Caenorhabditis elegans: one gene and its partner. The protein of the gene in region 2 interacts with the protein of the main gene of each other region in a pairwise test. Each region holds a gene or a part of one and is shown on either strand. Other genes may lie near its edges.

Region 1 (4,519 bases), on a different chromosome or scaffold from region 2:
AAGTAGAATTTCCTGGAGCAGTTACATCACTGCAGAAATAGCAAGAAAGCTGAGAGTATGGTACGGAATCTGATGATGAAACATCTGAAACACTTTCGCTTCTAGAACCAATTCCATGCCGAATGATGACGTAGGTATCGAATCCAATCGCGACACTAATTGCAATCTTCTTATGTCTACTAGCCAAAACTGTTGGAAGCCAGCGAGCTTCCCTTGAATCTAATGCTAGGAAAACAACATCATGATCTTTCACAAGTTGCTCCAATTTTGCAATATCTTTTTCCAGCTCTGGTACATCTTTTTCATCGATAGAATGTCCAGGCATTGGAACAGTGAGACGATGAGCAGTTGCTTGAATCGATGGGAAAATGCGTTGGATAGCAGCTTGTGCTGTTTCGGCTTTTCCACGACCCAGGCGTGCATCTTCAAATTCTGAGAGACTCTGGCGAACGGGGTTATTGTAGCTGACAGTTGAATTATCAAGAAACGAAATGTGACGAACTCCCCATCCGATAAGACAACGGGCAATGTTACATCCAAGCGTTCCAGCACCAAGAATGAGAACCTGGAATATGACAAAATATAAAATTTAAAATTTAAATATATACCTTCAGCTGTGAGTATCTTTCCAATTGAATATCTGGGTGCAATCTCCATTTGATTAATGATAAATTAAGATCCACAGATCTTTCCATTAATATTTTTGGATCGAACTCTTTACTTAAGTCTACTGAAATCGGCTGCAACTTATCATTTGCATTTCTTTCCCATCCCACAGCTTTTGGAACAGCATTCTGAGCTCCATCTGCTGAGCATTCAGCACTCGGCAAGGTCCATGTGTATTTTATTCCGATACTGTCAGCTGAACGAAGACTGATGATATGACAATGCTTCCACGTAGGATGAAGATGTGCCACTGCGGCAAGAACGTTGCGAACCATCCATCCTGCAGAATACGCAACAGGAGAAGGATCAGCGACAACAACACATATTTCGTCAGGATTTGTGTTGTTTTCCAATTCTGACAGTTCGAGCATTTTTGAAGATTGTTTGGAGTATAGGAAGATCGGAAAATTGTTTTTCCTATAAAAGTCGAACAGGATCTTGTGATCGGCTCCGAGAGATGATAGTGGTGTGATCTGAAACCGAAGAATTTACGAACTTCAAAGACTTTTAAAGATTTTTCAACCTCTTGTTTTATTTCACTAGGATATACCAAAGCAGGAACACATGTCCAATAATAATATTTGAATTTTTTCAAATCAGCAAAAGCGATGATGAAGAATTGCGACAGAAGACGAGGATTTTGGAGCCATTTTCGAGTTGTGATAGATTCCCAGATCTGAAATTGCTGACGATTTTGATTAACTATACGAAAGTTATTCTACCTTTTCTGCTTCACTTCTTATCAAATCACTTTTGTCAACCATCTTGAAACTTTCAATTGTATTGTACAGAAGAAGGGTACCGGACATTGACAATCCAGTTGTGCTCTCCAAACTGCTCAAACTGTCGTAACTTAAGGATAGATGACATTTAAAACCTTCGGTTTGATCTGTAATTTAAATTAAAAATCATCTGATACGGATATAGGCAATTCTTACGAAGCGATAATTGACTTGAGATACACTTTGGCGTCTCATCGAGTTTCCAATCATTGAGCTTTTTCTTGTTCACTTCGTTCCAAAAACCTGTATCAAGACAAGTAACAAAGGGAACAAACGTGGCCATCGATTCTGAAAGAAAAACAATGTCGAGAATAATAGACGCTCTTCAGTAATTTATTCAGGATTCTCAGACCGCCAGATGAAATAAACGAAGAACGAATGTGTGGTGGTTTGGAAGAAATCCTTTTTCAATTTCTCGAGAAAAATCAGAGGAAGGGAGGAGGGAGATTTGGAGACAAAATAGTTTAAAGGGGATGAGAGAGAATTGAGGGGATCAATCTACACCGTTCGATTTACTTTTGAATTATAAGGAAGAAATATAAAAGACCATATATATTTTACATCGCTTTGCTGACGACAGAAAATAATATGAAAGTGGGTATTTTTTGAAGGAGAATAATGTGTGGGGGAGAACAAAATCGATAAAAAGAGAACACAATTTATAGTACAAAAGAGGAATCGCCGGGGTTTGGTGTGGATTGAATAAGATGGAAAGGGTTTGGAGATGAATGGGAGACACAGAGAGGGAAAAGAAACACATGGTTTATTGATTGGTTTGGCTGCGTTCTTGTATGAATGGTGTTAGCCTCCTCACATAGCGTACTTTTGCGTCCATTCTCTCGCCAATTGATTGTACCTGAAAATCGATTATTTTTAGTAGTTAAAAGAAAATCTAAATTCACCTTTCACGATCCGTCTTGTAGATGCGTGCAATCTCTGGCACAAGTGGATCATCCGGATTTGGATCACAGAGCAGCGAGCAGATCGAAAGCAGAACTGAAAATTAAAAGTTAGAACGCGAACAATAATGATAATATCAACCTTTCGAAATGGTCAGAGCCGGCGACCACTGCGAACGGAGAATGTCAAGGCAGATGCTTCCGTTTGAATTGATGTTCGGATGATAAATTCGAGTGGTGAAGGCAACCTGAAGAAAACAAATTAAATTTATTTTTTTCCAATTTCGATCAATACCTTTGGTGGTTTGAATGGATAGTCTGTTGGGAAGTGGATAGTGAGGAAGAAGACACCTCCCTGATAGGGAGACTCTGGTGGGCCCATAATCGTAGCTTGCCAATGGAACAAATCATCACCAACTGGTCCAGCGGAGCATTGTGCGGGTGGATCACGGCCGAGATCTTGGAGTTCCTGAAACGTACATAATAATTTTATTGTTGTTAAGTGTTGAAACCTTACCTTCTGGATTCTTTTGAGAGCCATGTTGGTGTTCTGATTTGCTGATTGACCCGGCTACACCCGGAGTACTCTGAAAATAAATTTCGATAAATACGGTGAAATTGAGCTTCTGCTATAGGGAAAAATTGAAAGTGAGGATTTTCGCATGAAATAACATAAAGAGTACGGCGCGGCGCGGCGAAAAATCGATATTTAGAGGCGGTACAAAGTACTCAGTTTGCCCTTCGTGGTGAACTGTTACGTCACATTTCGAAACTAGTGGAACATTCTAGAAAGCGAAAAATGAGGAAAAATAGAACAGATATAAATTTGAAAACCAAAATAACATAAATTTCGGAAATTTCCTAATAAAATAACTAACGATGAGAAATGATGACAAATATGACACATTTTTACGGCTACAAGCCAGTGACACTCGAAAAAAATTTTAACGCTTAAAAGAAATGGACTGGAATATTACGCACAAAAAGCAAGCGATTCAAATCTTGTAAAATTTTCTTCACAATGAATCGAGACTGGGCAAAAATTAAAATTCAAGACGTATCACAAATTGTCTGGTTAGTTTTTTAAAAAACTATTCGGCATGTACGTATTATTTTCTGATTGAAACAAATGATTTCCAGATAATCACTCTGAAATCGACTAAAGACACGCGACTTGTCGCCTCACGAGATGGTGAGGAAGGAAGAAATGGCCATAGGCTGCGAGTGAGTGAGAATGTGTGCTGTCTGTGAGTGAAAATGAGCGACGGGGTGAGCGCTGAAGTGTCAGAACGACAGAGACAGAAATAACACAGGAAACGTAAGAGGGTACGAGGCAACGATCGATACGCAGCGCCATGGGTCTTGAGACGACCATCACACTCACTGCAATGCTGCAGTCGCATCGCAATGGGGATTGAAAGCGGAGAGAAGTGAAACTATAAGCACTTAGACACGAAACGCAGAGAGGTAGAGATATCTAATGACAAAGCGAGAGAGTGAGAGAAGCAGTTGATCATGTGATTCCACTGATTCAATTCAGTGTGGACGTGAGTGAACTTGCACTTTTCTGATGGTTACTAGATGACTGAAATTTGAACGCGGAATTTATAAAATTTTAGGACGAATGAACTTGAGTGTGTTTTCTTATTTCGTGCTATATGAGTCACGTGGGACAACGAAAACAAAGAGGTATAAAATAGGCCAAATCATACTTCGGAAGTGACTTTAATTTTGAGAAATAAGTTTTGCAAAAATGTTGTTCAAATTATTGATCGAGCACTAAATTCCCTAATCACTACTCACATGTGGAGTTGAAGTTATTTTTAAAATACGAATTCAGCGAGGAAAACCTTTAAAAAATTGGAAACAAGTACAACAGAACGAACTACAGAAGTTGGAGCAGGAAGAAAAATAAGGAACATCGCAAACGAACTGAAAAGAAACTGAAGAAATTAGAAGAAAATGAGTAAGAATGATGGACCGCCCTTGTTTCACAATCTGTATTTTGCCGCGTTCGAAATGGCGCCAAGAGATATGGAAAGCTCTTCCAATCAAAAAATATTTTTAAATGGCATACTGCTTGTCTATCCCATATTACGTTGAAGGTATTAATAAAAACAACAAAAATTTTTTAGAAAACATTAAAATAATCGAAAATTCACATTAAATTAC
Region 2 (6,696 bases):
CTCCAATTATCAATGCAACAGAAATATGAATACTTCAATAAACATAATTGTATATTTGAACGAAGAATGTAATAATTTTTTTTTTTTTAGTTTTTCCATTATGCTTGCACGGTGTTAAAAAATTTAAAAAATCTACATATAAATTTTCCATATTCAGGTTAACATTCCGATTTTCCAAAAAAAAACGCATTCGGTTTCTTTTTTTTGCAAACCATTCAAAAAAACATTATCAAAATGGATTTAGTGGAAAAAGTTGAAACAGAAATGTTGCTGATGAGTATGTTCAGTTTCTTTTTTTAACAATTGAATTGCTATTTTTAAGGCAGTTTTGAGCAAACTTTTCAATGTTTTAAATTTAAATAAGTTTAAGTTTCAAAAAATAAACCAGCTTTTGTAAATCTAAGAATACACGGCAAGCATTTTCAGTACCCAATTCAATGTTGTCCAAGAATTTCAAATAACAAAATAGGATTCATGCAGTACTGATTATTGAAATAATTAAAAAGGTTGAACGTGCTTTATTCAGATATTTACATGGTAACAAAGTATACATCATTTGAATACAAAAAAAATGAGTTGAAACATTTGGAATTTGGACCTGAGAAGTGCGGCAGTGCAAAAATAATTTCTACCATTAGTGCCCAGAAATTACCAAACACCAGTTAAAAAACTAATTTGCACTGCCCCCACTAAAAAAATATTCGACTGTGAGCTACTCACAAGAAACCGCTAGGCGCACATCGAAACCGAGAAAGAAGGAAAAAAAATGGCTAAGGCTGAGAATGAACAATGAACCGTTAATGGAGTTATGGTAAGTTTTGAACTTATAAATGGAATAAATAAAAATAACGTTTTCCAAGAAACAACGAATGAGAAATGTGAGAAAAATCAGACAGGAAAAGTGAGCGGAGGCGAGAGAGATTTGGAGCTAGTTGAATATAGTTTAGATCAAGTTTCACGGGCGATTTCCTTCAAATACTCGTTCACTTCAGCCTGGTCTGGAGCATCTGGCACCTCCCAAGATGATTCGATGGGGTTTCTGATCTTTGTCTTGCAAATCGGGCATGAGAAATCGTGGCGGTATTCCATTTCGTTGGCGATGCATCGGATGCAAAAGGCGTGGAGGCACGGGAGAAGCAACTGAAAAATAAATAAAATATCTTTATTTTTATTTTTCAATACTCCGTATCTACTATTTACAGTTTTTTATTCAAATATGTTCTTTATGAGAACTGGAACTTTGGAAATATTCCTTGAGCTCAAATGAGTTTACCGATATGAATCCACAGATAAAAATTTGCGGAAAAATGCCTTAAAATTATCCAAAGTAAACAAGTTTGGGATTTCATAATTGTTCATTTCGAAATCTTGATCGATATTTTCTCAAACTCATGTTAATGAACCAGTAGAAGAAAAGTTTTTAAATATGAGGAGCACTACCAAGGTTTTAGATTCCAAAATACAAAATGTACGGACCCACTAATGAATTAATTTTGAATACGAAATTGAAAACTTACATCGTTGATGTTTTCCATACAAATCACGCAGTTACCCTCGACATCCGATCTGCAAAAAAAAGTTGAAGTGACCTGTGAAAAATTTTAAGGTTAAAATTTACTAACGAAACAGTCTTAATTAAAATACATTTTCTTTCCAAATATAACGATATCAGTGTATACTTTTTTCTTCGTGTAACTTACGTTTGAGTCAAAATGAATTGACTAGTCGACATGGGATCCACGCTTCTTTTACGGCTTTCCTTGTTGGTGATCATCAGCTTATGTAGATCATATGTGGAGAGAAACTCGCGAAACGTCAGCTCCTTGTAGTTTAACACTTGCTTCGACATTTGATTAACCTGAAAATTTATTTTTTCAATGTTCGATTTGTACAATGAAACTACTCACCTTGCAGCAGAGAATTTTAATCTCTGACTTCCAGTTTTCATATCCTTCACGCTGATAGTCAATGTTCCGGAGAGCGAAGGCCAAGTACTCCTCGTTTTCGACAAGAAGACTGCGATAACTGAACGAATAAAATGTTAGTTAAGGTCGTGACGCCATATTTCGTAATGTTTGGGAAACTTCCGAGGAATCCGATCTTTGGTGCAGGGTTCATAAGCAAACACTTCAAAAAATGTTGCGAAAAGATTGTTTCACACTTTATGTCCAAATTATTTTTCGAACACCGCTAAGGAAAGCCTTTTTATTTATAAATTTTTAATTGTTGCTGTATAAAAAAAATAGTGGTATTTTCAAAAAGATTAAGGAAATTAAAACATTTGGAAATTATATTTGATTTTTCAAATTATGAATTATAAATATTGCAACCAAATTTGACTCTAACAAAAAAACATACTTTCGGTTCATTTCCTTAATATCGGCCAAAAATTCATCCCATGTGCATGACTGAAATCGTGGATGTCGTTTTGATTGATTAGTACCCATCCTGAAAAATATTTTATAATTTAATCTATTAATTTACAAGAAAAACGTATGTTTATGCGGAATTAGTCATGCAAAACACATGACATCAGGAAAATGGTTCAAATAAACTGCGAGCAGGGTGGAAGAGCGGAGTAACGTAGTGCGAGAAATTGAGTGAAACGAGAGACACAGAGAAACATAAGAAAACGTATCGCATGAGTCCCTTGCACTCGTGAACAGTGAGCAAATTAATTGTATGCAAAAAAGGCAAGCACACAAAGTGCAGGAAATATTCTGGAAATTAAACGTATAAAGACATTTTTCTAACAAAACAAAAAGTTTAGTATTTTATGAATTATCTAACAATGTAAGTCATTCTATAAACGTTGTCATCATACATCATACCACTTTTGAACTATCTGTTTTATCCAGCTTGTAAAAATCAGGCACCTCTATTTGAAATTTTTTCGTACACAAAAAACTGTTTTTAATAAATGATTACATAGGCACATTACGCGTCTTATCATATGGTTGTTAACCTGTTCAGCAGATAGAAAAATTGATAACAACGGAAATGAGTCATGTAAAATCGATCCGGCCTAACATAATTAGCCGAGCTCGGAAAGTTCCGCAAATCTACTTTTTTGAAATTTGCCGAGCCCGGCAAACGGCAAATTTGCAGCACACCTACTCAGATAAAGATGAAGCCGATTAGGATACATCAAGCAGATCAGTGCAGAAAAAACTGATTGTCCCAACCGACTTGAGTATCTTCGGAAGTCAATTATAGTCTAGTTAACTTAGTTAACTTAGTTAATTGTCTAGTCAACTGCAATCCACAGTCGAAAAAATGCTCACATAAAAAAGACATAAAAAATTATCACATTTTCCTAGTTTGTTAAGCACGGCAAATATTAAAAAACGATATTTGCCGAATTTTCCGAGCTCTGAACTGTAGAACTGAACTGTACATTATCACCCATTACTACCCTTCGTTTTGTTTCATAGGATCCAACAAATTTGGGCGTCAAGAAAAGAGAACGAATTGCAAAAAAACTGCAGCGCCAATATTTTATGGTTCTCATCTTTGCGATATTTTTATGTGCACCGCCGCCCTCATCTATTGCCGCGTTGGAAGGAAAATATACGATATTCAATGCTTACTTCAAAATTTATTCTGGATATTTTTGAAAATCTCGCAGACGTGTTCAGTCAGCATTCGTGGTTGAGGATATCGAACACAAAAAAAGATATCATCGATCACGTGTGATGACAGATTTTCTGCGACTAACAGGTTTGCTTAATAAAAGTTACTAAAACGCTGAAACTTCTGGAAATCATTTTAATACTGTTTTCTTAAGATATCTTTGCAAAACTGGAAAAATACCAGAAGATAATCAAAGTCAGTCAACCCTCTCTGTACATTTCTGTCACATTCCTTCTGTTTTTCTATTTGGTGCGTAAAAAACGAATATTGTTTTAAAAAACAATATTTATCCCTAAAAATTTCCAACAAGAATTTCCACATATTTCTCTTGATATTCAATTTTTCAAAATTTTCGGCTAGCTGGGCTCTAATTTCCGTTAGTCACAAAATCTCATTTCCCGTTTTGCGAAGCCCTTCAAGCTTCAATAATACACCATTTCAGCCTACGAGAATCATAAAAATTTTATGATTAACTACGACGTAACCAAGGGTATCTGAGCTTTTGGGGCAATCTTTTGAGATTTCAGTTTTGTTTCCAAAATGTAATAAAACATTTTCCCAGTTTAAGTTTTTTGTTAAAATTTTAATTTTTTCCTGTGTCGCACAGCAACAAGGCTTATAATTATAAGAAAAATTTCTAAGAATACGTTTTCAAAAAACTCATTTTTTCTTGATTTTCTTTTTCAAATATTCATTCTCAAATTTTCCATATCCACCCGGAAATTTATTTAAGTGCGTCAAACACAAATTCAAATTCTTCCTTTGTTTTGTAAATCAAAAAGTCAGATACGTCACAACGCATTCTGTTCAAAAAATGTAGTCTGTGAGCAGGTGACCAGAACCTTCCATCTCTCAATAATCTCTTCTTTATCCTTTCATTAGACTGCGCAACGCCCTCCGGCTCATGACCACATATCGACTCGCCTCATGGGCTCATTATCTGCCATTTCCTTTCTCTCTGCTCTCTCTTTTGCTTTACCTCTCCGCTATCTCTCTACGGTCGTCATTTGAATATTACCTCGAGACAGCAGACGGCCGTCTGCTCAGACTGGTGTAAACCAAGAGTGCCGTAATTCCGGAGCATCGTTGTATCTGCGTGGAGTTGAGGGGTTTTAAACGCTTTTGTTATTTTCTTTTTTATATCGGTGCTGACGAGAGTTTTTATTTTTGATTAGTTGATTTAATTTTTTTCCAGAGAAACACAGTTATTTACAGAAATGTCGGAAGAAGCTGAAGCTGGACCATCGCCAAAAGTTAATGGGGAAAATGGAAACGGAACAAATACGGTAAGAGCTTTTTTTTTTGAAAAATATAACAGAACAACTTTCACTAAAATTTTTCACCGGGAAAAAATTAAAAAAAATCATCTTTACAGTTCGACGACTTGTACGTGGATGACAAAATGCGTCGAATGATTGTCGACCTTCAGCGTCAATGGCTCACGGATTATCACGATAGCCGCGAGAAATCTCTCGTTGCTCTAACTGAAAAAGTAAGTCAACCACCCCAAAGTTTTAATTTTAGAAATCTATATTTTAGCTCCATCAAGAATTCATGGAAGATCAGGAGCGAGTCCGTCGCGATTTGTTGGTTCAGTTCAAGATAGAGCTCGACCAGACAAAGGAAGAGCTGGAGAAGAAGCACGCGGAGAATCTCAAGGAGGAGATTGAAAAGCTGTCGGAAAAACACCAAAGGGAACTTGCTGTCGCTAAGAAGAAGCAGTGGTGCTGGCAATGCAACAGCGAGGTGAGATTTTATGATTTTATGATTTTTTGATTTAGACGGGTTCTCTATTTAAAAGATGTAGAGTGTTGCCAGATATTTCAAAATCTCTAACATCAGTCTGAGTCGTGATACCAATGTTCATAGTACTATATCTTATTTGTAAGCTAATTTTCTTTCGAGCATGAAAATAATTCTTTTGCGCTCCAGTGCTGTATTAATAACGCTAGACCTGAAACATCATGATCATATTTCAGGCAATCTATCATTGCTGCTGGAACACTGCTTATTGCAGCGTTGAATGCCAACAAGGACACTGGCAGATTCATCGCAAGTTCTGCCGCAGAAAGAAGAGCAACGGTGGAGCCCCAGGACCAGTTCAGCCAATTGCTGAGCCTACTCAAAGTCAACAATGATTGAAACTTAAATAATATGCTATCTGCGAGCCGGAGGCCCTTTGAAAAGTAACAAAGCTTGTGTCAGGTTTTCGAAGTTTATCTCATCACACATCCCGTTTTCTGTGTTACTACTGTATATCTTCTCTCCAATAACATGCAATATTTTTCTATAATCCCATGACAACAACAATTTTAAGATCTTCTATATAAATCCTGTTAATTAGGAATTTGGATCAATTTCGGAGAGATCTCAAACTTGTGTTAATTCCTTCGAGAAATAATCAAGAAATTATGTGAATAAAGTTTATTTTGATACACATGTCCTTTTGGATACTGTAAATGTGAAAGATGACAAAATGAAAATGTTCCTAGACACTTATGGGGATCAAACGTGTTTTCACATCCGATGTGTATTGTATAAATGTAAACAATTAACGAAGATATGAATTGACATAATGAATTGAGAGTTATTCAACCTCTGCAATTAAAATGAATATAAACTTCTCTGAAAAACTATTTCAGAAAGCACCCAAAAATTCAAATTAGAAGGAGTGCTATGAAATTTACACGGATTGTACAACAAATATACTTTGTTTGAGTTTCAACAACGAAACGAATAGAAATTGCGATTTGTGAATAAATGAACATCGTTTGAGTATGTTTAACAACTTGCGATGCGATAATAATAGTAAATCTTGCTCAATAATGTGTAAGTGCTTTACTATTCATCAGACCGATTCCTAAATAAGGTTTGTCGATTTTTCAGAATTTTTCCGTAAAGTAAATCTAAATTAATTTTGAATTACCGATAATTAGGCTTTTTTCAGAATTTTGTCGCATTATTTTCGCTTTTCAACTCTTCTTGACGGAAAAAAATCGCAATTATTTTTACACTCGCCCTCTTGATTCGAAGCGTTTTTTGTTTGAAAAATTCTTTCTTTTC

Evidence for each region.
Region 1: the proteins of F54B11.5 (region 2) and let-70 interact in a two-hybrid assay, tested with the Caenorhabditis elegans proteins (one study listed by BioGRID).

The regions. Positions count from the first base shown.
Region 1 is NC_003282.8:11,079,320-11,083,838, forward strand, and holds let-70 (Ubiquitin-conjugating enzyme E2 2), read right to left. Parts: upstream 2,935-4,519; 5' UTR 2,889-2,934; coding exon 2,865-2,888; intron 2,817-2,864; coding exon 2,643-2,816; intron 2,596-2,642; coding exon 2,490-2,595; intron 2,445-2,489; coding exon 2,351-2,444; intron 2,305-2,350; coding exon 2,259-2,304; 3' UTR 1,767-2,258; downstream 1-1,766. Other genes in the region: atg-7 (Ubiquitin-like modifier-activating enzyme ATG7), read right to left, coding at 1-565, 609-1,139, 1,190-1,342, 1,389-1,555, 1,605-1,731; klc-1 (Kinesin light chain), read left to right, coding at 4,416-4,452. UniProt on the Caenorhabditis elegans protein: Catalyzes the covalent attachment of ubiquitin to other proteins. Mediates the selective degradation of short-lived and abnormal proteins. Plays a role in the DNA damage response.
Region 2 is NC_003284.9:13,593,621-13,600,316, forward strand, and holds F54B11.5 (RING-type domain-containing protein), read right to left. Parts: upstream 2,449-6,696; 5' UTR 2,448-2,448; coding exon 2,359-2,447; intron 2,026-2,358; coding exon 1,908-2,025; intron 1,859-1,907; coding exon 1,701-1,858; intron 1,567-1,700; coding exon 1,518-1,566; intron 1,141-1,517; coding exon 949-1,140; 3' UTR 501-948; downstream 1-500. Other genes in the region: bra-1 (MYND-type domain-containing protein), read left to right, coding at 4,851-4,919, 5,009-5,125, 5,173-5,379, 5,613-5,771.